Linked DNA regions of Alligator mississippiensis. The protein of the gene in region 4 interacts with the protein of the main gene of each other region in a biochemical or structural test. Links are inferred from orthologs where the notes say so. Each region holds a gene or a part of one and is shown on either strand. Other genes may lie near its edges. The genes, in order: ATP2B4, CFTR, SDC2 and CASK.

The links.
Region 1: the proteins of CASK (region 4) and ATP2B4 form a complex in vitro, tested with the Homo sapiens proteins (2 studies listed by BioGRID and IntAct, with this or other methods). The link is inferred for Alligator mississippiensis from reciprocal best matches to the Homo sapiens genes CASK and ATP2B4.
Region 2: the proteins of CASK (region 4) and CFTR interact in a test that uses a peptide from one of them, tested with the Homo sapiens proteins (2 studies listed by IntAct, with this or other methods). The link is inferred for Alligator mississippiensis from reciprocal best matches to the Homo sapiens genes CASK and CFTR.
Region 3: the proteins of CASK (region 4) and SDC2 form a complex in vitro, tested with the Homo sapiens proteins (2 studies listed by BioGRID and IntAct, with this or other methods). The link is inferred for Alligator mississippiensis from reciprocal best matches to the Homo sapiens genes CASK and SDC2.

Annotation. Positions count from the first base shown.
Region 1 is NC_081837.1:39,477,867-39,485,372, reverse strand, and holds the start of ATP2B4 (plasma membrane calcium-transporting ATPase 4), read right to left. Parts: upstream 3,002-7,506; 5' UTR 2,703-3,001; intron 2,694-2,702; exon of another isoform or gene 2,482-2,693; intron 1-2,481. UniProt on the Homo sapiens protein: Calcium/calmodulin-regulated and magnesium-dependent enzyme that catalyzes the hydrolysis of ATP coupled with the transport of calcium out of the cell. By regulating sperm cell calcium homeostasis, may play a role in sperm motility.
Region 2 is NC_081827.1:48,757,070-48,765,004, forward strand, and holds the start of CFTR (cystic fibrosis transmembrane conductance regulator), read right to left. Parts: upstream 3,006-7,935; coding exon 2,940-3,005; intron 2,203-2,939; coding exon 2,036-2,202; intron 1-2,035. UniProt on the Homo sapiens protein: Epithelial ion channel that plays an important role in the regulation of epithelial ion and water transport and fluid homeostasis. Mediates the transport of chloride ions across the cell membrane.
Region 3 is NC_081826.1:41,881,304-41,889,155, forward strand, and holds the start of SDC2 (syndecan-2), read right to left. Parts: upstream 3,003-7,852; 5' UTR 2,786-3,002; coding exon 2,726-2,785; intron 1-2,725. UniProt on the Homo sapiens protein: Cell surface proteoglycan which regulates dendritic arbor morphogenesis.
Region 4 is NC_081824.1:303,752,730-303,760,183, reverse strand, and holds the start of CASK (peripheral plasma membrane protein CASK), read right to left. Parts: upstream 3,017-7,454; 5' UTR 3,002-3,016; coding exon 2,934-3,001; intron 1-2,933. UniProt on the Homo sapiens protein: Multidomain scaffolding Mg(2+)-independent protein kinase that catalyzes the phosphotransfer from ATP to proteins such as NRXN1, and plays a role in synaptic transmembrane protein anchoring and ion channel trafficking.

The DNA.
Region 1 (7,506 bases), on a different chromosome or scaffold from region 4:
TTGAGGGCAGCATCAGGAGCCACGCAGAGCTGAGGCCACTTGCACAAACCCCTGTGGCACGTTGCCCCGGCTCAACGCACCTACACCATTCCCACCCTCAGGCCAGACCTACAGCCCCACTTATCTACTGGGACCAGGCTCCTTCCAGGAGTGCTGCACAGATGCGTCTTGCCCCCACGCTGTACTCCGCACCCTCCCACCCATGCCCCTCTGTGCTGCACCAGTCCTTCCAGTCAGGAGCTCTGCGGACATGTCTATTCCAGCCAGGCTGCCCCCTGGCCCCCAGCCCTGCAGCCTGGCCATCATGCTGACCCATTCAGGGGGGCTGCACTGCAGACAGGCAGCTCACGCAGATCACGGATGCTGTTTACGAGCAGAGCCTGGATCCGGAGGTACGAGGACAATAACCCATTGTACCACCTCCCACTCCTTTTCTCTGTTCTGCACGGGCCTTGGCTGTACAGAGAGCTTGGCCTGCGAGCAGGGTCCAGCACGGAGCCCTTACGAGCTGCCTCAAGCCTACGCAATCTCCTCCCAGGAAGGAAAAGCCGAGGGCAGGGGATAGGGTCCAGGCTGGACACAGGGAGCCTGACTCCAGGCTGCATAACAGGAACCACCTTCCCACAGAGCTCCAAGATTCAAACCAGATGCGCAGCAAGAGGGAGGGAAGCTCCGGGCCTCCAGAGCATTTGGGACCTGGGAGGGGGCTCAGCGGGCAGGCAGGAGTCAGAAGAGCCAGGGCGTTTGTCTGGAGCTAGATTGGGTCCCCCACCACCACCGCCCCTTCCTCCTGCCTGGCTTGTTTCTTTTAAACCCTGATTGGATGGGCTGGAGCGGTGCAGGCAGAAGGGAGGGACAGCCAGCACCAGGCGTGGCCCGGCCGGCACTGCCAGCGCACTGCAATCCCACCCCACGCACGCCCCACTAGCCCAATGCTGGCCACACACACACACACACACACACACATTTCTGCCTGCAGTAGCCCCTGCTCCCCAGCATGCCCTGCTGATGCCTCTCCCCGCTTGCCGCCTGCAGCCCACCTGCTGCTCCGGCCACCAGCCCTGGAAAGGCAAACGTACCTCGCGCCAGACCCGACGCCACGCCCGGCGCTTCCCGCCTGGGGCTCCCACACAGAGCTCAGACACGGCATCCGAATCCCGACCTGCAGCCCGCACCCTGCTGCTGTTCCAACCCTTCCCAGGCAGGGGGTGGCAAGAGAGCGGATGCTGAATGGTGCTGCTGTGCAGCATGGGCTGATGGCAGCCTGGGCTGAGACCGGCACGGTTCCAGCTCCCACCATGGGGCCTTATCCTAGCGGTCCACCGCACCACAACGCAGAACAGGAGATGCGACTTGTGGATAACCCCTTGTGGCCTTTGAGCAAGCCAGCCAGGGCACAAGGGAGGCTCGAGCCAGCAGGGAAATCTCCCTGCCACTCCAAGGGCAAGCTGACCAAGTCATAGCCAGGGCAGGGAGATGCGTGTGTGTGGATGCAGCTCTCCCAAGGAGACTCAGTGCAACAGATGGGACTCTCCCAGGCTGGAGCTTTTCTTCCTGCCCACCTGGCAGGAGGCTGGGGGGGAAGCAGATAGAACCGCTCCTTGCTGCAGGGGGTGGGTCACCCACCTGCTGCAGCAAGAGGCCCGGAGTCAGCTGCAGAGATGGTATCCTCTCCATCCAGTGCAGCGGACAGACACCCCCGCCTCCTCATACCCAGGTGCATCTCGGGCCTCAGCCAGAACAAGCTGGCTATGCTGACAGCAGAGCCTGCAACCCCTCCCGCCCCCCCAAACCCCTCTTCAGGGCCTCATCCCAGAGCCATGAACTGCACCCCAGCTATTGCAGGGAATCTGACTCTGGCCCCTCATCTCTGCCCCTGCACCCTACCCCAGCCACAGCACAGCAGGGAGGGGGACCTGAAGCTGCCAACCTGCCTCCCCCTCCGGCTGAGCCCGCTCCAACAGCCTGCTGCCCGTCCCACCCACCTGCTGCAGCCGCAACAGATCCCGCGCCCAGTGCCAGCCTTCCACCACGCTCCCACCCTCTCCCTGCAGTCAGAGCCCCCTTGAGCAGCCGGCACACACGCCCGCATCCCTGCCAGGCGTCCTGCCCCCACCCACAGACGGCCAGCCCTCCTCATACACCGGCACTGCTCAGACCCTGCTGGGGCAGCAAAATCCCACCCCCCAAAAGGAAGCCAGGCTGGTGGGCAGCGGTGGGGACACAGAGCCGGCTTTGTGCACCCACCACGACATAACCAGGTCCCTGTGTTAGCAGCCGCGCAGCCCCAGCACCCCGACAACCCCTAGGCAGGCTGCTCTGGTTCCTGGGGGTTATTGGCGAGGGGAAGATCCCACCATGGCCCCAGCCTGGGAAGCAAGGAGAGGAAGAAGAAGAAGGGCAAGGCGGGGAAGGAGAAGAAGAAGGGCAAGGAGGAGAAGGAGAAGAAGAAGGGCAAGGAGGAGAAGGAGAAGCCCCCACCTCTGTGCTGCAGGGAGCGGAGGCAAAGTTTCCCTTGGCTGGAGGGGCTGGGGCACTCACGCCCCCGCAAAGCCCAGGGAAACCCGGCGCCGAAGTTTCTGCAGGTCCCAAGCGCCGAGCCGGAGGCAGCTGCTAACTATAGCCGGGGAAGCGATCGCGAAGCCCCGGCCGGGCTGGCGGGAGCTCCCGGGCAGAGGAGGGGGCAGCAGGGAAAAACTCACGTCCTGGACTGCCGGCTTCCTCGGGACACCGAGAGGCGGAGCCGCTCCCGCACTTAATTCATGGGCTGCAGCTGGTCCTGCCCGGCCGCCCGCAGCCCGGCCCGCCCCGCATGGCCGCGGCCGGGAGGAGGGCGCAAGACCCGGCTGGTCCCGGGCGCGCAGGGGCAGGAGGCTGCGGAGCCGCCCCGGGTCGTCGCCCCGTCCCCCGCCGGGCGCGGCCGCAGGGAGCCGGGCTGCTCCGCCCGCGCGAGCGCTGCAGTGGCGGGGCGAGCTCAGAAAATGCTTGTCATGGCAACCCCGCTCCTAGCCCGGCTGGGCTCACCCCATCCCGGGGAGGAGGAGGAGGAGGAGGAGGCGCTCTCTTAAGGTGGATTCGCGCTCGCCCTGTTGCTGCGGCTGCATTTAAGGGGGAGAAAGGGAAGGCAGAAGTGCCCGCGCTGCCTCTGCCGCAGGAGAGTGGGAGCTCCCGGGCACTTCGCGGGGCAGAGCCCGGGCGGGAGGAGAGGGGGAGACAGCAGTAATCCCCCTGCCGCTTGCTTTCTGCTCCATGCCTGCCTTTGCAAACCCAAGCAGAAAAGAAACCAGTGTCAGAGAAGGCAGACAAGGTTCCTCGGGTAAACCTGATCTCTTTTTTCCCTCAGTCGGTCGAATAAAAAGTCAGTCTGATCTCCAGTAAAAGAGACCCGATTTACCCAAACAACCTTGTCTTTGCCTGTGTCCTTGGACCAAGGCGGCCACAACCTACACCCCTGTCTCTGAGAATGGTGTTTCAAGAGAGAGGTTGAGGCAGAAACCCACCCCAGCATTTCCTGCCCAGGGTTTGCAATCTCCTAGTGCAAACCTGCTTTTCCCAGCAGATCCCCATGGACCTGCAAAGCAGGGTCTGTTTGAGTCAAGGGAGAAGACACGGAAGGGTTTGAACCCCCGTCCTGCTGTGGTGGTGGGGCCCGTGTGGGGTTTAGGAGCCCTTGTGAGGGCACAGGACATTGAAAGGGCACGTTTTCCCATTGTTTTGCACAGGCAACTGATAGGAGGCTGACCTGCTTCACCTTGGTTTCCTTTGAGGATGCCCTACAGCAGTGGTCCTCAACCTTTTTTGCACCAGGACCCATTTGTAAACACTGATGGTTAGTCCCGACCCAGTACGTAGTTTAAGTAGAAAACAGTTCCCTAACCCTGCCGGTGCCCCTCGTTCCCAATCTGCTGCTTCCCACCCCTGGCCCCAACCCTCAGCCCCCCAGTGTGTGGGGCAAGGGGGGCTGCAAGCAGCCTCTTGTAGGCTGGAACTGTGCCTTGTGAAAACCCAACTTCTCACATTTTTCTCATTTAAAGGAGAATCCATTTTAAAAGTTTGTTTGTGACCCTTTCATATATTCTTGTGACCCACTTTTGGGTCGCAACCTGTGGGTTGAGAAAAGCTGCCAGCCTTGGAAAATTTGCACCGCCAGCAGCTACTTGCATGAAGAAACCCAGAAAGGCAACTGAAAAAAAAAAAGTGGGGGGAGGGCCTGCTTCCTAGCAAACAAACAAGCGATCAAGGAAACGTTTCTATCAAGCTTAGGCCTGGATCTATACATCATGTTGCATGGAGATGACTAAAGGGAGGTGGGGGGAACACATCGGTTCAGTTACACTGGTGCAAGTTGCACAGGCTCATACAGACACGGGGCTGGAAGGGCTTTCAGGAAGTCACCTGTACTCTGACCCTTGCTCCAGACGGGATCAGCCCTCTCTACACCCCCCACACAAATGTTTGTCGAACCTGCTCTTAAATGCTTCCAGCGACAGAGATCCCACAACAGCTTCTCTAGGTAATGCCTTCCAGTGCTCACCACCCCCCTCACCCTCCCCCTGCCACCAACCTGGTTGCTGTTGGGTTCAGCAATTTCTGATTTAAACTGTGTGTAGACAAGCCCCAACTCGTTTGGGTAGCATTTGTTTTTCAAAACCCAAGGCCGGATCCTGTGAACACTTCTCCACCAGCAACTTTACACACACCAAAAGGTGCAGGGATTTGTTATTGCAGTGTACAAATAAGGTTGTTCCTAAGCACAAGCCCTTTACAAAGTCAAAGTCTTAATATGACGGTTTCAATCCACCCAGTTGCAGTTTCTTTAACAAGGGAAATGCTCCCCGTGCCCCTGGCACGTCTGGTTTAAAGGTGCATTGTTTTCATGCTTGAACTGAGTATTTTGAAAGGTGGATCTCCTTTTTCAGGGGCAAAGTCCTTCTTCCCTGCTGATTCTCTAAGGATGGATTACCTCCAAGTCAAGTGCCAAATCAGGAGCTACTTGTTTCCTAGCTCTGAACAGACAGTGACTTCCCAGTCAAAGCTGCCACTGGCACTCTCCCTCTATTTTTTTTTATTACCATATAGTGTCTCAGCACTCTCAGTCTTCAGCGTATTTATCTTCACAGCATCTCCGCGCCGTAGGGAAATGCTATTATTGACTGAAGCACGCTGAGCTTGAGGATGCATCTATACCACCACCCCAGCATGGCAGAGGATGCTCCCGGGAACAGCCTGCCATCCTACCCCTGCTGGCACACCCCAGACCCAGAAACCCAGTAGTAAAGGTGCCCACAGAGCCTGCTGTGGATCACACTTCCCTAGGCACCATAGGGATGTGGTACAGACAAGCCCCAGAGATCTTACCTCAGGACTGGATCTTCCTTGTGAGGCCTCCGGGAACAGAATCTAGTCTCACCCACCCAGAGGTCCCACAGGAAAAACAGTGACTTTTTCAGCAATTTCCTGGGTGGTTGAGCTGTGACTTCAAAAAAACAAACAAAAAAACCCCAAAACCCACACGTGGTGGCCTGGGAGGCAGAAGATATTTGTAATCAGGATTGTTTGGGATGTTGGGCACTGCCCAAATGCAGCAGCTTTTCTAGAAAGATTTTCTGAATTTGGAGAGTCTCACCCTCTGGGCCTATAGCGGAGCTAAAGTGAATCCAGAGGTTTTCAGACGCGCTGAGCAGCTGTAGCCCCCTTTGCCATGAGCTGTCATTGGGAAAAGCCAGATCAGTCTGAAGGAATCCAAATCTGCTTAGAAATGCACCTCTCATCCCAGCTGACCAGGTACCTCCTGGCAGTTGGGTTTCCATTGCACCAGGACACACCATCAACATTCAGAAGCTGCCTCTGTTTCTCAGGGCAAAAGAACAGGGCCTGGGAAGACCCAGAATCTCCCCTAGCACAAGAGTGAGCAGTACATGTGCACCCTCAGAGTAGGATGCTCCTTGCTGTTGAGTCCTTCTAGAGTTAAATAGACCAGACAGCAGTAGCATGGGGCCTGATTATGAACTCCTCCGCTGTGACACCCGGGACAAAGGCAAAGCAGGGAAAAAGATACCATATAGTCCCTTGCCTTCCTTTGGTGCCCTATACCCTGAAGCTGCTCTGACATGAGCTCTGCTTTCTCTGAGGCTTGGAAATAGGGCAAATAGTGCAGGACACACTGGATAGGCCTCTGATCCAACCCGACTCCCTTCCACCACAGGGCATCTTCAGTGAACTGGCACAACGGCTTTGCCCCCTTCCCACTGTGGGAGCCAGCTGGCAGTGGAGGGAAAGACAAGCTGAATCCTGCGGCAGGTGTGGCAGCAGGAACCCCTGGGCTCTGGGTCAGGAAGGCAATGCCAGTCTGAGCCCCCATGCTGCCCGGCCAGCTGCACGTTGTGGGTCACAAGGCCACCCACTCGCATGGTCTTGTGACCCTGCAGAATAAATGCTGCACAGAGGAGCACAGTGCAAGGGGCACTGCATGTGATGCCGCTCCAGTGTCATGGGACTGGGGGGGCTGCAGAGGCCCTGAGTCCCATTTGTTCAATGGGGGCAGAGATTCATCATACACTCAGGGTGGGGAAGGAGGGTACATGCCCAGCTGCCTTCCAATGCCATAGCAGGGGACAGGCATGGAGCTCTCCGTTCTGCTCCGGGAGCTTGGATCAAAGGGGAAGCCAGAGGAGGCAGAAATGCCTGGCAGGGCTCTTCTCCCCGAGCCTGGTGAAGTGTGGTTTTTTCTCTATGGCAGCATCGCTCTTTGGAACTGGGCAGCCCTGATCCTGCAGCGACCTCTGGCCAGCCAAACCCCTGGGCTGGAGGGTGCCATGCTCTGTCATGGCTGAGAGATCAGGCGCAGTAGTTGGCTGCCTCCCCAACCCAACACGCAACATCCCAGCCAAGCCATGAACACCGGTCTTGGGTCAAGTGACTTGTGACCTAGTGTGGAGCATCTTTGGCCACATGGGGTGAGTTGAAAATATTCAATCAAGATGCCAGTCAAGCAGCTTAAGGTCCCTAGGTTCCCACCCCTGCTCAGCCAGCGCTGGGGAGGAGCAAGGCAGGGGCTTTCCTGGGCCTGGTCAAGGAGCAGCTCAGTCTCCCACTCTCCAGATCCTGGCAGGAAGCTTGGCAGTCCCCATCCACCCTCATTGCATGTGGAGCACTGCATGTAGGAGACATGGAAAGCACCAATCCTGTGGGTCACCCTCCCTCCTCAGGAACCAAACCCCCTGTCCTCTGAGCACAGGAGGACCCCTCCCCGCCCCAATTTATTATCCTGAGTCACTTCAGGTCTGTGCCTCAGTTTCCCCATCCTAAGGAGAGTGCTTCCCTTCCATGGGTGGCCGAGGGCTCGTGTCGTGAAGCTCGTGGAATCATTTCTGTTCCGTTGCCCCTGCCTGCCTCGGTGGGGTCCAGCCTTCTCCATGTGGGAGGTTCACACAGCTCTTGCCACATGTACTGCAATCCCCCAGCCCAGCTGCCCCCACATGGGGTGCGGCACCAGCTTGATGCTTT
Region 2 (7,935 bases), on a different chromosome or scaffold from region 4:
GTTTTGGAGCTCCTCCAGTCCCTCAGCAAGAAGAAAACAAAGAAAAAGTATTCTAAACTGTGGCCTGCTTAATGAACTGCATTAGTTTTTGTCAATTCTTTAGGGGCTTTTTGGTGGTAATTTCCTATCACGAAGTACATCTTTAGTCAGAAGGAGAGAAATACCACGCTTTGTGATACTTATATTCAGTATGTATTTGATAACTTTGGAAACTCTTAATACAGTTTCCTTTTCATTTTTAATTTTGAATTCTGGCAAATGAAAGAACAGTAAAGTATATTCAAAGGGAAAGGTTAATTAATTGGAGGCATATTGTCTAGAAATTCTGCCTTGTATAAATAATTACTGAGTAGCAGCAATGTGTTCAGGACATTGCCATCAGTTTTGAAAACATAGATCCCATTTTATTTTATTAATAAATACAACTTATCATATGACAAATTTAATATTATAAAATACATCCAATCCCTTGGAATATACATAAAGACAAATATCTTCCATTAAAAGAGTTCCATTCAAAGTCATTGTCCACAAATGAGACCTGTGTTCTTTTCTTCTCTTCCCATCTTACTTTTAATGTTAGTGGACACACATTGCTATGCAGATCCGAACTATGCTGGAGAATGAGGGAAGTTTATCCTAAGGATTTAGGTTTGTTTTATTTTTTAAAATAATCTGTGAAAGAAAGTAAATTAGCTTATGATTTAGGATTCATTCCTGCAAGTGCTCCTTGAGTAAAAATGCCCCTGTAGCAGTACCAACCCCATACTCCAGTTGTTCTAAACTTTTTTTAGACTCAAGGTATTCTCCATCATTTTTTTTTAATTTAGCAGCACTCAATTTCAAAAACTAACTGTACTCCTTTTTTGACAACAGAAAAAATAATAAAGTGATTATTATGTTGCAAAGAACTCAAAAAGACCACAACCAGTCAACATTTTTTTTAAGCTATGGATTTCTATTTGAAATTTCTGGGTTTATTTTGTGAAACATGTGTAGGTGTTTGCACATCTAGCAGGGCTAGTATTGCATGACACTTTGTGACACCCTTAAAAGAATATCAAGGCACCCCTGGGTGTCACAATACCACAAATGAAAATCACCACCCTAAGCCATTGACATTCTGCTTACACAATTAAATATTTTGTTGGTCCTCTGGAGATGGTCAAATATCAAACAGTGCATGAAGTTCCCATTTATATAATATATATTTAACATGGGTTCCATTCATCAGCTGCAGCAAGGATATGCTAACTTTGATAGACTTTGCAGAAGTATGTTTTAAAGAAGGATTTGAACAAAGAGCGTGCAGGTGTCTTTTGCACTAGAGGTGAGGAAGGTTTTTTTAAAGTTGGAGTTGAAGTATGAAAGAAGGCAAAAGGTGAAAACAGGGAGAGAGAAGTGAGAAAAAAGGTGTTGGCAGAGTGAAAAAAATGGGAATAGAAGTGAAGGGAGTTGGTGTCATAAAAGTCTGAAAGGAGATCATGGAAAAACTTCCTTTGTTCAAGAAAGCCAATGGAGGGATTCAGAGGTGGAAGTTCTAAGGTGAGGATGGATCCTGAGGAAAATGATTTTTAGCTCTGGAAGAGAAAGGTGAAAGCCAAGGGGGTATGTGGAAGGTGAAGGCAGGGAGACTTAAGTAGGTAGAACTGAGAACAAGACTTAGCCCTGGATATTAAAACAACGGGATGGAATTTTCTTAGACTATGAAGAAAAAATAGTTGGTAGTGGTGTGATATGTTGATATGGAAGAAGGCAGCCACAAAACTAAAAATGAGATTGCAAGCCTGAAACCAGGCCAGAAGTGACCCAGTTTTCCAAAACTAAGCCAACGACATGGTTGAACCATTACTGCCCGCAACCTAACCAGGACTTTAAAAGCAGCTGAAAACTCTATTGTTCTAGTGTTTCTGGTGTCCTGTTACAATTAAGCAAGCTGAATTGATACCTTCACTAGTCCTCACTCACTCTTCCAGATCAAGCCATTGCCATCCACATCATGATATAATGCTAATAAATATGTACATAATCATACCTTTCTAATTTTTCAGAAAGATTATCTGCAGAGTCTGCGGAGGGGATCTGATAAATGTCTGACAATTCCAATCGCTGTCTGTAACCCTTTTTCAAAATTGGGTTTGTCCACCTAAACAAAAGAAGATTTATTACTACATTCCAAGATTCGTTTTGGAGGGACGTTAGCTATTTAGGTCATATCCAGCACTGCATATATAATTCACTATGCAACAGAGCATTACAAAATAAACCATAAAATGACACTTTGTTAACCAAGAATGTAGCTTTTGAATACTTTGGTATGTAGGTAAGGATAACATTAGTAGAACAGCATTGGATTTCTTAAATTGGATTATTTTATGCATGACTCTTACACAAACATTCCCCCAAAAAATCACTAGGAGTAGAGTGAGCAGTAGACTGGGCCTTTGGAGTTCTATTTTCAAGAATGTGTAGTCTCTGTGCTAATGAATATTACATAAAAATGTTGTTACATTAGAAACAGAAGTTAATCTTACAAGTAAGGAAATTTAACTTATTGTTTATATGCATAACTGTTCACTTGGCAATAGACACTGAAAATTATGTGTGATCTTTTGCAAGATCAAGGCATAATGGATGTGCCAATGATAGCTTTTATCCATTATTAAACATTTTCAATTTTTTTTTAACTTTAATACAGGCCTTAAAAAGTACATTTTTAGCACAATGTTCAGGTTAAATAATAATCTCCATTAATGTTAGTGGAAACTACTATGACAGATAGCCATACTTTCAAGGAATAACTGAGTTATAATTTTTGGACACTTAAAATGTAAGAAAGATTTTGGACCTAATCTCATTCCTATTGATATTGGTTCCAAAATATCTATCAACTCACAGAAAAAAAACCAAGAAGATAATCTTAACTAGCTGCCCTATACGAGTAACACTCGTAGCTGATTCATTACAGTCATTAGTAACTGTAATGAATCAGCTATTGATTTCATGGTACTCCTTACATGCATTATAGTGCACACTACTTGAAATGAATCCCCAAGGGATCCTGTTCAAATTTTTCATCATATTTTATTAATAAGGTCATTTGAAAACATAAGATTAAGAAAAATGCAATTAACAAGCATCTTTAAGATACATAGTAAAGTACATACAGTAGTAGAAGTACCATTTTGGAGATGCCTAAGGTTACAGTGAAAATAAGCTTTACTTTCATTGTTAAATATAATCGTTTTCTACAAAATAATTAAGTAGATAACTGTAAGAAGTAGGTTGCAAGTAATCGCTGCATGCATTTTTATGTGTCTGTCCATCTGTCACAAAAATACATTTTATGATTACAATTAAAGTGATGAACAGAAAATCCTAGCCCACAAATTTGAAGCCATCCAAAAGAGAAAAGACTTACAAGATATGTTTCCTAAAAGAGACAGTCTGCAATGAAGGGCCAAACAAAACTTTAAGGAATATATTAAGAGGGTCATTTCAAGGCTAGAAGTTGTTTATTGGAGGTTATTTTTAGTGTAAATGTCACTCTGTGTGTCTATAAATGTGTATTATATAAAGAAAATTAACCTGATTCTTGATTTATATTAAGGCCACGTTATATTCTTCTGGCAGCATAAAGGACGTAAGTAAGTATAAAAGTAATATTATGCATGTCATACAGAGGCCTCTCTGTAAATGAGGTGCATAATGCATGTGTATGACTCTTAATGTTCATGTGTGTACACACATAATCTAACATTACAAATATTTTAAAAGATTATAATCATGTGAATAATAAATCAATAATCCTGCTAATTTAGTCTATTAAGCATTTGGGGAAATGAGATGTATTCCAAGTGGATAATTATGCTTAAGCATTTTTTTGGAGAATTTTTTTAAGCAATAAAAGGATTTTCTTTCACTTCTGCAACCACAGAAATCCTCTGTTTCAGATAAATTGTTTGGTCTCAGCTCAGTCTTTAGCTGCAGTTTACATGAAAAAGTGCACACAGTTCATAATATGTCACGGTAAAACCAATGATCAGAATATGCTTTTGAAAGTGGCAAGGGGAAAACTGTTCAGGCTGTTCATGAACTCTTTTGCTGCTGAAGTTAGGGAACAGTGATATCAGAGATACATTTCTAATTCTTGTGAATGCCTTCATATTTAAAATAACTCAAAATCTTGTTAGGTAAAAATCCTGGGTGGTCACCTCGAAGGATGAGCTAGGTCATGTACAGGATGACAGAAAGGAACTGTGTACATGGCTTGTGCAAACACTACTAATCCCTTGTCCTTTGGGAAAAAAAACACACTTGCCAATTTGTTTCATAAAAGAAACTGCAGTACATTCAGAAAATTTGGCAATCATGAAATGAATAAAACTGAGGGAATACTACATGACTACTGCAAGTAAGCTAAGATAGTTCTGAAGAGCGCCTCCCCCCTCCGCCCCCCTCCCCACTTCATTCCAAAGTATTGTTGTTTAATAAGGGTGACTGCCCTTGACAGGTACCTTGTAAGCCCATGCATAATGCTCTGAAACTATACTAAACAATTCTTAATCTATCTTGAGACAAGGAAAAAAAAGATTTACAGTTTCATACCCCCTATATTTTGGGAAAACAGTCTCTACTACATTGTTTCTTTCTACATTTTTTTTATTTGCATTTTTGATTAGCATCTAACTGGGCATTTTGCCACAGCCTGAAGAAACAAAATTTACTGTGCTTGAAGCAGAGAAGTTGTTAGGAAGGGAGCATAAGTAAGTCAGGTCTACTGTACTCATGGGAATGTGGTCTGAGTAGCTGATCAACTACAACTCTTTGCCCATCCCCTCACCTTATCCTAAACTGGGTGTATTTTGCCTTACCCTAATTACTGGGTAAGCACCTCCTGTTCTACCTTAAGAATGGATTCGATTCAGCCCTGCATCCACAAGAGTTGCAGTATTCCCACCCATGGAGATAGTTACAGTCAAGGGTGATTCACTGCTATGAGCAGGGAAGCAATGATGCCATCTTCCTCCAGGAATTCCCTCCAGGCTCTTCTAAACTGCAGTCAGGATTTCAAAAGTTGAGTCTACACAGAGGCGTATGTACTTCCAGGGTGACCTGGCATTGCTCTGCATCCCCAGCTTTGTGGGCTAACTTGCAGGCTGCATCAGCTGACTTCAGATCTCTAGGAGACAGTTTGCGTCATGGCGCCCCCTTTAAGATAGATTTTCAGAAAATGCTTGGGAAAGTGCTGTCAGAAAGAATATCAGGCTTTGTATACTTTCAAAATAGCTTGCACCAGCTAGAAGGCTATATAAATAACCCATCATCATAATTTTAGGGCCAGATTCACCATTATACTCGGGGGGGGGGAAGGAGGGGGGATTTTCACTCCTCTCTGTAAAGTGAATATAAACCTAGTTTAACTGGCCATATATATCAGGCTTATTAAAAGTTTGCACTGCCTTAGAACAATGGCACCAAAGATTTTCAGTGAATCTGGCCTTTAACATTCTGAACTCGTTAGGAATACCAGCATTAATTCCTCATTTCTGGTTCTCATTTCTCTTGTCATGGCAAAATCTCTTTTGACACAAAGAAAGCAAGGATAAAGATAAACAGATTGGCTTTAAAGTATTACGTTAACAAATGCCACCGGATTACTGGCTGGCATTTAATGAACTCTTTCACAGGGAAACCTGTAGTGCTGTCAGAGTCTTGCCACTAACTAGGGATGTTATTATGGGCATATATATGTGAAACCCAGCAGGGAATGAGTTTCAAGGGTGTACTGTGGGTGAGAAGAAAAGAAAGAAAACAAGTTCCACCTCTTTGATTGATTGCCTGGTAACAAAGTACACACTATTGGAAAGATACAAAGGTACCATATACATGACACATTGTTTTAACTTCTGTTTGTTTGTTTCTTTTCTTTTTCCTTTCATTTTCCCTCCCTTTTGTAATCTATAACACATACCTACTGTAGCAGTTTGGTTTTCTAATTTGCACAGCCACACAGGCAAACTCGAACCTACTGGGCAACTTCACTTGCTTCTCTGATGGGCACCACCTTGTCTTTGTCATTTCTGTATTCTTGGCCCTGCTTAAGGCTGCTGTGCATCCTTCCAATATCAAAAAGCAGCTTCAGACTTGGCATATTTCACTAAATGGAATTTCCTCCGGCACAGGGGAATTCCCAGTACCACAGATACAGCTAGTTTCCTGCCTCCAGCAATCCTGAAGTAGACATGCTGGTACAGAAATCTGAATCTCCAAAGCACTACTTTTTGCTCTGGACCAGGGAAGCTCAACCTCCAGCCCACAGGCCAGAGCCTTGGCATCTAGCCTGCAGGACTCCCCATGTGTTGGATAAGTTGGCAGTGGGGGAGCAGTGGCAGCTAATACCCCCACCCTCACTGCAAAAATCCCAAATCCTGCACAGTGAGTCACAGATGGGCCATGACCCTCACCCAGGATGGCTCGATCAGGCCCAGGTCATGCTCCCTTCCCCCACACAGCTAGATCAGAGCTGGGCTGCCCCCTGCCCTCCTCTGCATAGCTAGATGGGGCCCTGTCACACTTGCCTTAGGTGCCACCACCTGGATCTGGCCCGCAGAGGGACTGGGCACTGCCCATCTGTCCTGCTGGACAAGCCAGTTGAGTACCACTGCCCCATTGCAACAATTTGGGTGTGACCTGTGCTACAAGGTATGCAGAGGAGCTGCCTGAATGAGCAAACCAGATGACCAATGACACAGCCATCATATGAAACCAGCTCTATAAACTGGTACAAAATGAAACCTACCTTCACTGCCTTCTCTTTTGGGTATCAAATATGTCTATAGGCACTAGCTAGGACCAATGCCTTCCCTCCCTAAGGAAAGTGTGTCTGCGTGCCCACCTTGAGACTGGCACAAGCATGTCCTGAAATGATCTGTTGTGTCTGGCACTGCAAACTTCTAAGTGCCCCCAGTACTTTTGGACTTAAGAGGTTCAAAACACTTAGGGACAGCATGTGTATTTGAGAAATTATTGAAGGATTTGGGGTTCAGGAACTAGATTAGACTCCTTCTATCAAAGACAGTCATCCCTGTTGGTAGAAGAAAGTAGAAACCACACACAGGTTTCTTTTTAATCACTTGTGGTAACTCCCCTTCAGGTATAACTTGAGGTGTGTAGGTAGTGTTTGCACCATCTATCCTCCCTGTAATAGACAGGCAAAGATAAATTCAGTCATCCATAAAGAAATTATGTGTCACCAGCCAACAGCACCAGCTTTCTGGAATTGTTTTCAGTACTTCAGGTGCTGCAGCAAAGTAAGATCTTATTATGGGTTTGATTATGTTTCATCCCCTCTTCCTGTGAATGTCCTATCAAACAAGGTTCTTCACTTGCTATAACTTTCAAACATTCTATGTTACTGAAAATTCAGTTTTCAGAAGATTCATTTTTAAAAGAACATGAAGCTAGCTATTAGCTCTGCTGAGGGCCAGCAACAGTCAGCTGCTGAAACATACAGCAATTTAAAAATACTGACCACAAAAGAAAGTGCTTCACTATTGCATATTAAATAACCCCATGTCAAACAATAAATTAACCTCACTTCCCACTATCTTTGCTCTACGAAACAGGATTTATAAAGTATAAGACAGAATTGTTTCCTAAATTTATCTGCAACAGTACTAAGTAATAAGATTTGCTAGATTTTTAAAACATTAAAGAACGTGAGAGGCACGATTTTTGTGGGTGATTTGTTAGGGGATTTGGGGTAAATTTGGGATAATTTGAGGGAATATCACAGCACCCTTACTCTTTTTTTTTTGGTAATCACTCACTCTGCTGTGCCTGCTTCTCTCCCAGAAGGAAGATTACTCTGATACCTAAAATTATGTTTCAATGTGTCCCAACCATGCACTTGGTTCAATAAAAGAGATCATC
Region 3 (7,852 bases), on a different chromosome or scaffold from region 4:
ATCTACAAGCTGCTTTTTTTTCAGTACATGGAAGAAAGTTTCTAAAGCAGAAGTCCCTGATCTTCCCTGGTCCATGAGCAACAGTGATGAAGGAACATGCTCTGTGCAACATTGTACTTTGGTCTCTGTGAATTTCCATTTAAAAACTTTTAAATTTTCTATGTCTGCAAGCAACTTCACACAGTCTCACAGGCAACATGCTGCCCAGGAGTCATGGGTTGGGGACCACTTCAGAAAGAATATGCCAAATATTTCTGTCAACCCAATAGCCAGGCTTTGAGTATGCATTGCTAAACCAGCTTGCATACTTTGCATCTTAAATTTACATGGCTCTCATTTCTTATTTCTACACTACAATAAGTCAGCTGAGCCTTAAAATGATTAACCTGCCACATTAAGCAAACAGAATAAACTCATTTGTTCTTGCTTTAAAAAACACATGTTCAATTTACCTCCAGAAAAAGGAAACGGAATGATGGAAGATTCTTTTCTGTCGCCTCATCTAACTTAAAAAGAAAGAGCTACCATCAGAACTAGACAGGGGAAAAAGAAATTAGACATAAAGCTACTTCACAGCCCCCCTGGGAGCTGGCAAACTTTTAAACATTCATAAAAAGTCCTCTTACTTCCCTCACTTTAAGGATTATATTCTGTAGAAATTTACATTTTTACAGTATTCTCCAATGTTTTTCTAAAGACAGTTAACAAGGACAGTGCATAGCTGCAGCCAGACTCTACAACCATTTTCTCCCTTTCCTTGTACAATCTCTTCACAACTTTCCTGTGCTGTGCTAAAAGACAGGCGTGTGCTTTTCAGACACCTCAGTCTGCACTTCCAGCACCAGTACATTCTAACAAACTGGCCTCATGGCTTACAGTTCAAGAACACATGAGTCCTGAACAGAAAACTTAATACTATACTAATTGCTGTGGCACTTTAATGGTTGCCACTCCATCCAAGCACTTCACAATAAAGGCACCTCTAGAAGCAATTAGAGCTGTAAAATTAAAGTTAAAATATACTGTACCTCATTAACTAAAGACTGCTGTTAGAACTACCTGAATTCAGTTCTATACATAAGTAGTCTCCATACTACAAACTAATGCCAGTAGCTACTGTTTTAAAAGTGATGTTAAGAAAAAAATTAACAGTTGTCACCTTTAAAAAAGCTACTTCCATAAAAGGTTTTTATTAAAAGTTGCCTAATCCCAAAGGAAATTCTTTAGCTGAGTACTTTCAAAAAGCTATTGATTTAGTGACATCATTTAGCTTATTGGGAGAACATCTCATTTTAATTGGATTTAATTTTCATGATAACTTAAATGTCATATAAAAATAATGGACTTTATTAAAACCTTAAAATACCATAAGGGCAACCGTGTATTTCCATACTTCCTTCCCTCTCTCGAGAATCTTAAAGCTCTATTCAACGATTAATTTTAAAAGCCTAAAACACTATTGTAGGGAGAGAAAAAGTGGGACAGAAAGGTTAAGTGATTCTGCCGGAACGCGAGTTACCACGAGTTAAATTTTATTAAGCAGGGGCAATAAATATGCTTGTGGTTTGAGCAAGCTCCAACAGCAGCTTTGTAGGGAGCATCTCAGACAAAAACATCTGTACCGCGTTATCAGAGCAGGAGTCATCCTTAAGCCTTTCCATGTTTGGAGGAGGCTTCACTTGCATGTTTCTCATAGAAGACCTCTTGTTTCCCCTGCCTGTGATTTCAGATACAAGCTTGCCTGGAATGTTTCTCAAGGATAAACAGTCAGTCGGGGCCAGGAAGCCCTTGATTATTATTATTTTTCGGTGTCTAAGTAGTACAAGAAGCTCAAATTCCCCCAAAGTTCAGCAAAAGCGTCTCAAATAAAATGTTACCAGCCAAGTAAATAAAATGTTAAGAGCCACGAAGCCCGGAGGAATGAGGGTGGAACAGACTTTCCTTAGCCGCTGATTGTTCCTCAGGAGTCCTGATGCAAGTGTTACACTGGGGGGAGGCCGAAAAAAGCTGCAGAGAGAGCACGGCAGAGCCCTGCGGGAACGGCTCCTCTGCTCTCCACATTGCACCGCCTCAACACAAATCAAGAGCCAGGCTGCAGCTCGGCTCGAGAGAGGAGCAGGGAGGGGGGGGATGCGGCTCCAACTTGGGAAAGCCCCGAAGTCGTCGGGCAGCTCCCGCCGCCCAGCAGCGCTCTGGGGGCGCGGGGCCGGGCGGAGACGGCAACACGGAGGCGGCATGGAGACCGGACCAGTGCCCCCCGCCTCCGGTCACGTAGCTGAGAAGCCCACGGCTCGGTGGAAAACAATGCAGGGGGCAGGACACCGACGGCACGAGGGCTCTAGCTGGGACCCCCTCCCGAGCCCCGCACATCCCCGAGGCGATGGACCAGCCCGGCCCGGGGCCCCGCCCGGGCAGCCGCGTGTGCGCAAGGGGAGCCGGGGGGACCCTCGGCCCGAGCATCCAAGGAGGCGCCGAGGGCGGGCTCCGCCCGTGTCCGGGCCCGGGCCCGGGCCAGTCCCCGTCCCCGTCCCCCCGGGCTGGGCGCTTGTTCCCGGGAAGAGCGTCACCAGCCCCAGCGCTCCCGCTCCGCCGCCCGGCCTCGCCCCTCGCTGCGGAGGCTCAACAGGTGGGAAGGGGCCGCCGGGGAAGCGGCGTGACTCCGAGCCGGGCCGGGCCGGGGTTTCACCCGGGGCACCCCGCCCTCCTCCCCCCGGCCCCGACTCACCGCCTCCCCGCACACGCAGGCCACCAAGCCGAGGGGCAGCAGGATCCACGCGCTCCGCATTATTCCTGGGCTGCGGGCGAGGCAGCGGCTGCTTCAGGCAAGGCAAAAAAAACAACAACAAAAAACAAAACCCGGCTCCAAGTGCTCCCCTGCGGCTTCGCCCTGACCAGATCCCACAGCCGAGCAGCGGGGGCTCCCGGCGGCGCTGGGCTGGGCTGGGCTCGGCTCGGCTCGGCTCGGCTCCCTCCCGCCCGCGGCCGCCTCTGGCGCCGCCGCTCCTCACTTGTTGGCTGCAGGAATCCCACCAGCTCCAGGGCGGAGTTGGCTGCTTGGGGGGAGGAGGGGGGTGTTTCTCTCTCCTTCCCTCCCACCCGGGCTGATGTTCCCGTCCTCTCCGCCGGGGAACCCGAGTCCGGGCGAGGGGAGTTGCCAGCGGCCGCCCCGCCTGCCCCCTCTCCCCTGCGCCCGGAGCTCCCGTTCGAGCCGGGCTCGCAGCGCAGACTGGCAGCTCCTGCAGCCAGTGAAGGAGCCGGCCTCCCCCGCCGCCCGCTCGCGGCCCCGCAACTTTTCCACCCCCACCGCCCACATGGCAAACACTGGCAACGCGACCGCGAAAGCCTGCCTCCGGCCCGGAGAACTTGGAGCCGGAGAGAAAAACAAAATAGAACTGGGAAAGTCTCCGGCTTTGCCTCCCTCCCTCTCACTCTACCGGATTCAGCCTCCGCCTCTCCCAGCCGTGTCTGGAGCTAATCTCTTGCAAGCCTCTTACCTGGTGCCCACGCGTGTCAGCGCCGGCCCCGCGCAGCTGCCGCCTCCAGCTGTTCCGCCCCAGGACTTCAAAAAAGATCTCCTTTTTCAACATCATTGTTTCAGCTCTTCTTCTTTGCCTTCCATCCCTGCCTTTCCAGGTCAGCTTGGCAGCTGGGGGTTGTTCACCATGGCCTCCAAGACTGAAGACTTGTTTTAAAAGCAAAAGAAAGCAGAAATTCTCGTGTCCTCATGTGAATGCTGGAGCTGGGGTTTCTGAACAATGTGCAGAACAACAACAGGAACTCATGTAGCAGGAGTCAGCAACAAGAATGTGTCCTTTGAGTGTATCCAAAGGATGCCAGACATGGGGTGTACGGAAGCAAAAACTGGGAAGGCAGAGTGTAGCCTCCTTTCTCCAAAGGGGCTTGTGTGGCTTCAATTCAGCAAGGTTACATTCTGTGACCTGTGTTATGCTGGAGGTCCATTTAGTTCATCAGAATGGTCCCTTCTAGCTTTAAAAATCCTGAATGTATAAAGACCCACTGTGGTAGGGAAAAAAGATGTGAGATTCCCTTTGATGTGCTTTCCCCAAGTCCTGGATCCCCTTTTTTCCTGCCCCATGAATGGATTGAGTAGTGTAGCCCTCTAGGACCGTGGGTTGTTTTGGCAGGAGATGGGCTACTCCCCAGCCCCCAATCTGAGCACCCAAGTTTATGCAGAAATCCTGCCCCATGGCCTTGTAGCTTCCCACACGACCCACCATCAGCAAGGCTGCTCTACACAAAAGTTAACATCATACATAATATCTTACCCCATCCCATACCTTTCTGACCTTACTTTCTCACCCATGAGCCTTCAGGGGGGCCTCCCTGGAATCAAAAGACAGAGAAATATCACTGCTGCATTGTAAATCCAGTTCACACAGGAAAGGGGAGCCATTTTTGGCATGTTCACTTTGTGCATGAGCTAAACCAGGGGCAGGCAATTATTTTGGGCAGAGGGCCGCTTACCAAGTTTCGGCAGGCTGTTGAGGGCCGCATTTCCCTCTCCGGTGCAGGGAAGCAGGAACAGCCCCATGGTACCTGGCTAGAAGCCTCTGCTAGGCAGGTGTTTCTGGTTGAGGGGGCAGGGCTGGGCAGACCTTGCTGCTGGATCCTGCTACCAGCTTCCTCTGGGTCCTACTGCCCCTGGCTCCTGTCATTTTTGACAGGCAGCTAGCAGCAAATAAATAGTAATTTGCTAATTTTCTTATGGGTCCCACGGGCCAGATAGAATGGCCTAGCAGGCTGGATCTGGCCCCCGGGCCATATTTTGCCCACCCCTGAGCTAAACTGAGGAGACTGATGTCCCCCAGCAGCAATCCTACTTATTGTTTAAATATTGATCTGGGGGATAGAGCCGCAAGTCATCATTTTTACATGGCACTTCCCAATTAAATGAATCCAACTGCTTTGGCATATTTGTTAGTTGTTCAGTGGGGAGTTATTCCTAGAAACAGATTGCTTAATATACTCCTTGATCCTGCATGTCATGTGCATGGGCAACTGCTAGATCTGCATGTTTCTATATGGACAGAGGAGTCCATTCATGCAGAGGTTTGGCTGGATTGCTGTTCAGCTAACCAGTAATTTTACCACCTAATAGGGGGGTTATTTACAATGAAGAAAGCAAGACTGAGCCACAAACTGTTCTAGAGGGAACAAGGCTATCTCCATCAGCCCTGAAAGCTCCAGTTTGTACAAATATCCTACTCCATGGCCTTGTCACTTCCTCAAATCCTGAAAGCTTATCACCATAGGCACAACTCTACCTCTGTGCAGAGAGCCCCATGAACATCAGCATCCATCTGTACTGATCAACAGCTTGTTGGACTGAGAACTCAGCACTTGCCCAAGGTCAGAGCCATCTTTCAAACTCAGAACAAGTATTTGGCTGGTTCCCCCATAATGACTATACAGTGTGCTCAAAACAATAAAATCAAATGATATCAAAATTGACAAAAAATGAAAGAGACTGACAAGAAAGGAAAGCTGAGTGCAAGAAGTCCCCTAAGGAATCTGAATAGTGTGAAAAAAAACATGGCTGGAGGTGTTATTCTGGTGGAAATATTTTAGCTCTCAGGTGTTTATTGGGAATATGTTTTCAACAAATAAACAGAGCTTGCATTGACCATATTTCACAGCGTATAGGTCAATACAATGTATAGGTAGACCCCTGACTTTCCGATGTGAAAGGTAAGGACTTTCATCGGTATGGTGTATGAGTCAGGGTCAGGCTTGCAGCTCGCAGGGGATGGGGCCGCACCAGCCAAGAGCCAAGCCCATCCCCTGCAAACGGCACCAAGCCCGGGGCTGCTCACAGAGGATGGGGATGAGGATGGAGATAGGGATGAGGAGGGGGAGGGGGATAAGGCTGGGCTCAGTGCTCAGCTGTGTGGCCCCATCCCCTGCAAACGGTGCTGCTGGTGCTGCTCACAGGGAATGATGCCACCCCAGCCGAGTGCCAAGCCCAGCCCCATTCCCATCCCCATCCCCTGTGAGCGGTGCCAGGCCTGGTGCCTCTTGCAGGGGATGAGGCTGCACCAGCTGAACACTGAGTCCAGCTCCATCTCCTGTGAGCAGAGTCAGGCTCAGCATTCAGCAGTGTTGCTCACAGCAGACAAGGCCAGGCTTGGCGCTCAGCTGGCACAGCCCTATCCTCTGCAAGCCTGTGCCACTGATGGGGTTTGGCTCAATGGGGCTTGGCACTCAGCTGGCGTAACCTCATCCCCTGCAAGGGGCACCGGCAGCACCGCTTCTAGGGAATGGGGCTGTACCAGTTGAGTGCCAAGCCAAGCTGAGCCCCATCCCTGATTTTTTGATGTGGCATGGTGTATGTCAAATTTGATTTTAATTGAAAATTTGACACAAAAATTGGGCTTCAAAACTTGACTTATACACTGTGAAATATGGTATATTTTTGTAACAACCCCTGCTTATCAGGGATTTACCTACAGAGCTCTAAAATCCAGTCCAGGCCAAAACCTGCTGTAGATGTTAAGCTCTGACCCTCAAGGAAATTCCTCATAAGTAGATCCCAACACTCAGTAGGGCTCCTCATGGAACCCAGCTGTCCACAAGGTAGCTACTGTCCCAGAAGGAGGTGTGAACATCTAACTCCTGCTTCTTACAAGAGGGCCCTAACAACATACCACCAAGTCCTTTGCAAGCTTGGGGTCTAACACTTGGAAACAATGCCACCAAACCTGCAAACACTTATTCATATTTTTTACTTCTCACTTAATGCTAAATACATGCTTTGACTTCTGAAGAACTGAGACTGAAGGACGCAAGCACAGCATGAATATTTTTATTGTAAGTTTAAACAGGTAAAAGTGAATAGAAAAAAAGAAAGAAAATAAATAGTCCTTTCATGTCACAGGAATAACAAAAGTATATGTCCTGGGATCCACTTGCAGCTTCCCAGCATGCCTAATGGAGTCCACCCCAGAGCTTGATATTACAGTAGGAACAGTCACATGTGTGGCCCCCACTCCACAACAGCTGTGCTGTATTATTGCAGCCAATTGTGCAAGCACCTGCTTCTCTTGTCGCCCTGATTTTATAGGAAGAGAGGCCAGAGGGAGGCCCAGCACAAAGCAGAAAGAAAGTGTTTTTCACCCAAAGCAAGTATGTAATAAGAACTACAATGGGAGAGTAATCAGAGACCAAAAACTTGACAGAGCAGCCAAGAAAAAACTGCCTGGGTACACTTATGATCCATGCTGTCAGTCATTAATCAGTGTATTGCCTTTATGTCAAAAGTTTGACCACTTCTCTATCAGGCCCAGTCTATAATATCAAAATGCCAGTGTCTGACAATGGTCAAACTAGATTGTTATAATATAGTTTGGATGGTCAGGATGGAAAAGTTCAAACCATGTTAAAGACTAATTTTTAAAAATGTGCTTTGAATCAGGGAGACAAAAGCATGGTATTTTAACCCTGATTATGACTACTGAGAAGCCCAAACTGGACCCCATCTATATACCAAGCTAGGAACATTCAGCTCTGGGTACTTCTTGAAAACTATACCTTTGGATTTGGGGAAAGTTTGGCTCTAGACCCTGGATTCATGGCTTGAGCCAGGCAAAATATGATACAACCTAATGTATGTAGCTGCACACCTATGTGTACCAAGCTAACACAGAGGCCCGGTACAGACATTACACACAAACTGGTAAAAATGACCAAAAACCAGTCTAAACCCATAACAGTACAGAAGTTCAGCACGCATAGACTCATTTAAAAATGTCAAAACCTGGTCTAAAATAGACCTGGATGGATGTAGTATCAAACTTAAATTATTTGGGTTAGACCAGCCTATCAAACTTCTGTA
Region 4 (7,454 bases):
AGCCACTGCTGCTGCCACCACCACCACACCACACACCTAGATCCAGCCTAGGGCACAGGGTCAGTTTTACACCCATGTTAGCCATTAGTAAAGCCAGAGGACTTCAGTGCACTTTTAGTTCTGACAATATTCCTTCAACATGAATATACCACAGTGCAATGAAGTAAAATGATAAATATTAATAAATAAGGCGTTCTGAGAGAAAGACATCAGGGTAGGCAACTTTAATGAAAGCAGTCTCTAGTGTACGTCTGGATCATCACAGACAGTCTAACATGTCAGCATTACACGACTACCAAAAATATGAATCTTATAGCCCCACCAAGTCAAAGTCAGATACAAGCCAAAACTAGATAGTCATGTGGCAAGGATCAGAAGAAAATTATACTGAACACAGAAACCACGATTTGGTCTTCTGGGCGAGTACTGGAAGTGTCTATTCAGTATTAGAAGGGCATGAGAATTACTTTAAGCTTAAAATATACTATGTCTCAACATAAACAGACTGCAGACAATAAGCTTTGAATACCTTTCAGTGACACTTAGAATGGTAAAACTCTTCACTTCCTTCAACTTTTTTGCAACTGGCAAGTGGCCAGAATTAATGTTTTAAACACAAAATGTACCAGATGTAATTATCTATTAATTCTGAATCCAGTACTTTGCCTTACCGAAAATAAAAGCATTTAAATGTTTTTGTAGTAATCTGCCTTCTAACATCCCAAGTGAGTTGCTTTTAGGTAAACCTCTGAAGTCTGAATCAAAGGAGTTATTTATTCTTTACCTCATGGCCAATTCCCTTAACATTTAATGTTTGTGAAGGCTAGCATGCCCCCACCCCAATTATTTACTCTTGGGCAAGCACATGCGAGAAGGGATGTGGATGTGAACAAGTTATGTCAAGAATCCAAAATTTTACCCAGAACTTGCAAAGTAAATTTACTCGAGCAATGCTTGCATCCTAAAGGACACCACTGATTGTTTTTTAAGCTTTGCTGCCTTTAACTTAAGAAGGAAATTATATTGTCCTGATTACTCGTCCGTGTGAGGCTTGTTTTATTATTAAGGAAAAAAGGTGTGTATTAGTGTATGCAAATAAAAGTCACTCACCACCACTTTCCTGATGATATATTCATAATAGTACATCTATTCCCCAATTTTGACACTCCTTTCCTCCCATGCCCAAAAAAAGAAAAAGAAACCCTGCTAACAGAACTTCAACTTGTGCAATGCTCCTTAACTGCCTGACTTTTTACCATCACAGCCACCATTTCAACTAGTTCATTCTTACCAAATTATAATGCAACAAGCTAAAAAGCAATTAACATTTTGTTCAGATAAAATAACCCTGCCAGTCTTAGCAGCTCATTAAAATTTTTTTAAAAGATTTAGAAAGAGACTAACACAGCAAGCTGTACAGTCAAGTGTCAACTAGAAGACTGACTCCAAAGGAGGTCTGCGTTCCCAAGCCAACAGAAAAGAAATTTAGGAATTTACCTTTTCAAAACCTATTCAACATCTACAAAGGACATGCAAAAAAACATTTTGTTACAGTTCTCCCTTCCATAGCTTTCCTGAAACCACCTGTTTTTCTACGTAAGATGGCAGTGGTAGCCACTTACTCAGTAAAGATAAATTACACACATTTTAAATATTTCATGCCTCTGAAATGCAAATCAAGGCCAGGTGTGCTGTTTCCAAGAGCTAAATTACTGTATCAATCAGTAATAAGTCACAGGAATGGGCAGACATTTAGTTGATGTTTTACTGAAAGGTGTTTAGCAAGATGCATATGTAGCAATTCGGAGCAGATTTACACTGCCCTTTCACAGGCTTCTCCAAGACGGAAAAGCTTCACAGACTTGAGGTATTAACAAAACAAGAAGCTCCATCTATGGTCCTTAACACGTAACTCCAGGGTATTATTCAAGTGACAAGAATACTGATGCAAATAATTAAGCTATTTATTTATTAACATGTTCTTTAAGGGGAATGACATGACATCTTCCTGATCCTCACAGAAGAACCTGGCTATACAATCCTGACTAGTTAGCAGCAACGACAATGTCACAGGTTAGGATATCTAACTGCCCACTCTATTCCTCTGGCACAATTTTAACAATTTCTGACAATTTTAACCTATTTACATCACAAAGAACTTTGTCTACTACATACACAATTAAAAAATGCCAAAATATTTATTTTGAAGTTTTGTAGATACTTAGCACTTAACTCTGGCCCCTTTTCCTTAGTATTCACACAAAGTGAGAATCATTTTAAAAATGTCACAAGATTTGCAACAATCCCCTTTGCACAACTCATCTCTGGAAAGTGCCCACATTAAGATTAGGCATATCCACTAGGCCTCCCTTTTAATTGGCCCTAACCCTACTCAAATAAAATATACAAAAGTACTAAAAATTCACACTCATGCAATTTTCATGGGGGGGGGGGAAGGGTGCAGCTCAACACCGGATCATCTGAAATTGCTCTGCATGCTGGTAATACCAAAGTTGCCATCCAATTTCCTAACCCCAGAAGCTTTTCTTCTCTTGATCAGCTTTAAATGACATCCACGACTATTAGTGGTCCTTCTGCCAAACGAGTCCCTTCAAGCTTTATGACCGAGAAGACATCTGTAGGAAACGGCAGGTGACATTCAGGATGGGTGCATGCCTTGTGCCATAACGAAAAAAACGAGAAGTATCAAAACACGGGCGAATGTGACATTAAGGACACGGTCACTCCATGAGTCTTAGACTGACATACTGGCATAATCCCCAGGGAAGATGTGCTCAAGAAAAAAAAAAAAAAAAAAAGCCTGTTTTAGTTCCAGCTTTCCAAGGAGCCGGCAATTCTCAGAACATTTCAGGTCTGCTGAGGTTGGGGGGGGGGGGGAAGAAGGGGGGGAAAACAGACACACACACACAAACCTGTTTAAACCAAGGTGGTATTGCAAAGTGTCCCTCCTCAAAAGATCCGTCAGCAAAAAATAGTGCATGCCACAGTGACTGCCCAAGCCTCTATTCAGCCCTCAGCTGTCTCCAAACCAAAGAGACACTGGAAAGCGGCATCCCACTGCTACTGCTGCCTCACGACCCAGCAAGACTAGGAGGGCAAAAGCCAGGACAGCTGTGGCTGCCCCCAGGGGGACCTGGCTGGCTTCTCACACTTCCCTCAGCTTGAGGAGAAGAGACCAGGGACCCTCCAGCCATAGCTGGGCTGAGAGCAGCCGTTGCATAAGGAGCCCGAGGAGGCTCCGGCAGCGGGGGAGGGAGAGGGCTGCGCCGAGCCCGAGCGGCCCTTACCTGAGCGCCAACGCGGGCATGCTGCAGCCGGGCGGGGCCGCGGGGAGGCAGGCTGCTGCCCTGCCCCGGCGGCGCTGGGATGCGAGGGAGCGGCAGAGCAGCTGCTGCAGGGGCCGGGGGGCATCGGGGTCACCCCCTCCCCCGCCGCGTTACATAAAGCGGTTACACACCCGCGCGCGCGCACACACCCGCGCACAGGTGGGCGCCAGCGAGCAGAGCATCCCATCCCCGCCCCGCCCCGCCCCGCCCCGCACTCACTTGCCGATCACCTCGCACAGCTCGTACACGTCCTCGAACAGCACGTCGTCGTCGGCCATGGTCCCACCGCGCCCCGCGGGGGGGAGGGGGAGGTGCCCCCCGCGGCCCCGCCGGGCTCCCCGCTCCAGCCGCGCCCGCGCTGCGGCTCCGCCTTCCCTCCGCCCCTCCCCCCGCGGCGGCCCCGGCTGCTGCTGCCGCTGCTGCTCCGGCCGCGGCGGCGGCTCCTCCCCGGCGGCGGCTGGCGGGGCGGGAGGAGGCAGCGCCGTCTGGCTGCGCGCGCCGCTCGCGCACGGTACGGGGAGGGAGGGGAGGAAGGGGCGCGCGCCGACACCCGTCACGCAACCCCCGCCGGCGCGCGCATCCTACGCACGCATTCGGGGCTGCTCCGAGCAGCCCGCCCACTCCACACACGCACGCAAGCTCGCCTCGCCGCCCCGCCCCGCCCTCCGCACGCAGAGCCACGCCCACTGACCGTAAGAGAGCGCGGGGGAAAAGCCGGAGTGCGCAGGCGTAGGGTTGTGTGACGTCATCCGGGGTGGGGTGGCTGCTTCCCTCGTGAGGCCCCCGCCGGGGAGGAAGGCGGCCTCTCCCCCCCTGCGGGGAGCCCCGCGTGCAGACAAAGGGCAGGGAGGATGTGGATGATGCCCCCGAGTAATGTTGCAGTCCCTGTCCTTGTCCTGCCGGCTCTTTTCCCGCTGCAGCCCGAGAAGCAGGCTCCACCTCAGCCTCTGTCCCTCCTCTCTCTGTGAGCGTGCAGTGTCGTCTCTCGAAGTAAGGAAAACCGAGCCCGCCGCTGGAAAGAGAAGAAAAGCAAAGTCCCGGGGGCCTCTTGTTTCGGCGAGGCAGCTGAACGGCTCTGGTTCTCGCTGTCCCGCCGAGCGGGGCTGTGTCCGCAGTCGCTTCGTTTGCAAAATGTGCAGCCCCTGGTCTGGCCCTGTTCTGGCACCTGCGGAAGGACGGGCAGGAAAAAAAGGCTAGGGCAGCGGTTCCCGATCTGTGGTACAGGCAGCACCAGTGGTATGCAGACAATCTGTCGATGGTGTGCGTGAACCGATTTATTATCATTACTTCATATGACAAAAATTGGCTGGGGGCACTTAGGGTTAAGCTGAAACACTTGCTGGTGGTACTTAAGGTCGCATTGTTTTAAATTGGTGGTGCGCAATCTGTCATTGGGAACCGCTGGGCTAGGTGGTGCCAGCGGATGCTTGCCTGGTATTGGCAAAAAGCCGATGGCAGAAGGAAAGGGAAGCTGTGCCCCTGGAGGGGTACGCAGAGGCTCTTATCCAGGAAAAATGTTTTTCTGTTTTCATTTTGTCAAGTTAATTGCATTCAAAAATAACTTCGGCGCACAAGGGATGGTTAAAACTCATTAACAGCAAAGGCTATGCTGTCTTCCCACACGTCAAAGAGAGCCCAACTAAGAAGTGTCCCATAAGGTGTTCTAACAGTTTCTACACCTGTGATTCTCAACTAAGGCGCTGTGGCACCCTGGGGTGCCTGGAGAGCCTGTCAAGGGTGCTATGCAAAGTTTGTAATGTTGAATGTGCAAACTGATTCACAAGATAAACCCAGAGGTTTCAAGCCAGAATCCGTAGCATCAAACACACTGGGACCTGTTGCGGGCCTTCTGAGTTCTCTACAGCAGAAAAACCACTCTTATTAAACCCCAAGTGAAAGAGGCTAAGAGAATATGATTGTTGATCTACACTCGGGTCTCTCTTTATGCAAATTCATTTTGTGCAAATTCACTTATATGCAATGACCTTAATTTATACCTTTAATTTGCTTTGTGCAAGAAAAATCCAATCTTATGCGAAGTTGCCCAGAAACTAGTTCCCTGCCAGCTGGCAGAGTTCCAGCTGGCAGGGAGCTGGGAGGAAGAAGAAGGGAGGTGACAAGACAGGGGACACCATGTGCATGCACAAGTACATGCACATGGCCCCAAGTAGCCTCGAGGGCAGCTCTGGCAGGTAACGGGGGGAAGAGGGGGATTGAGGTCCCTGTAGGGAGGGAGCTGGGCAGGCCTGGGGCTGCTGTCCAGCCAGCGGGTACATGGGGTCTAGAGCTGCAGTGCGCAGCTGCAGGGCCCAAGAAGAGAGCAGGATGGACCCTCCAGTGGCTTCTCGGTAGCTCCCCGCTGCCGCACACACTTCCAAGGGGAAGAGGAAGGGGCAGATGCATGGGTGCAGTGGGCCCTGGCCCTAATCCTGGGCCCAGCTCGGCTCCTCTCCCTGCCTGGTCCCAACACCTGCATCCCGCTGCCAAAGAGCAGCAGGCACAGGAGGCATGTCCCCAGGGCAGCGCAGGATGAGCAGCTGCCATTCCCTGATGGCCTGCTTCCCTGCCCCAGGTACCTCTCCAGCCTGGTGGATGTGACCCAGTGAGGCTGCACAGAGAGGCTACAAGCTCCCTGCTGCACTGGGTCACACCTGCTAGGCTGTGGAGGCACCCAGGGTAGGGAAACAGGGAACAGTGGGGCCGCACAGAGAAGGTGCTCACCCCGTGCTGCTTTGGCAATGCACCTGCTCCACAAGCTGCTGCTTGCTTCTCAGGGCAAGCACCTTCTCTGTGCGGCCCCACAGTTCCCTGCTTCCCTGCCCTGGGTGCCTCCACAGCCCAGCAGGTGTAACCCGGTGCAGCAGGGAGCTTGTACTCCCTCCTGCTGTTCCCAGCTGCATTGAGTTGTGCCCACGAGGCTGGAGAGGCACCTGGGGAAGGGAAGCAGGGTGGAGCCAGGCACGGCGAGCAGCTGGCATTCTCTGCCACCCTGCTTCCCTCCCCTGGGTGCCTCTCTAGCCTGCCCTGCGCTGCCCCCTGCGTGTGCTCACAGCCTCTCCACGCAGCAGCTATTGTATTGTGTGATTACTGTTTGAATTTGTCATGGTTTGGGGGGTCAGTAGAGTGCGGCTGGTACATATCCCTATTAATTACATGTAATAATGGATTCGCTTTTTGCAAATTTGCTTTATGCAAGGATTTTTTTGGAATGCAACCCTCGCATAAAGAGAGACCCGAGTGTATTAGCAGAGCAGCATTAGTAGCAGATCCTGACAGAGAATGAATTTGTCTGCCTGTCTGTGGTTTTGATCTTGGATGTCATGCCCAACTTGGGGGGAAGTCATACTTTGTTTTCTGGCAGCAGACTGATATTTTTCACCACAGCATCCAACAGACCTTGCTAGATTTTGCCAACCATAAGGGGCCTAGGCCTAATTTTAAATTTTCAGGTTGAATCTCTGCAGCATTTCTAGAACCCAATAAAATTTATTCCGTAACTGCCTAAAATGTAAGCAGTGAAGACTTTCAGCGTGTCCCTTTCTGGAATGGTTTACTTATAAGGATGGTAGCCTTTTGACCTCACTGGGACATTTAGGTGCAAGAAGGAATGCAGTCTCCTCTTTCTCTGCCAGTTTTTTTCCAGAGCCTCATTTATTTGTTTTGGATTCTCTAATTTTTCTCACTGCATCTCACAAATCCATCTTCTCACTCACCACCTATGTTGCTGTGTGGCAGAATAGACTTGGAGCCAAACTCCCAACAAGTCCCAAAGCCCCAACTTAACCATGTGGCCTTGGAAAAACTCACATCTGCCAAACTTGGGAATTTTCCACTACTAGCATGCAGATGATGCCCAAATGCAGTGAAGGTTTCTCAGCACCTCTAAAAGTAAAGAACCGTGTCAAATGAGCACCACAAACTGAAGGCCATGCCCTTGCACCCTCCCCACACGCACACAGCAGAATTAGCATTGGTGTTTCTAGCTGTTAATCTCCCTGACTCACTTTATGTAAGAGATGAAAGTGAGGCTGGGAGATTAACAGCCAGAAACACAAATGCTCAATTTTGCTCTGCGTGCATGTGTGTGGACATATATGTGCCAGCACA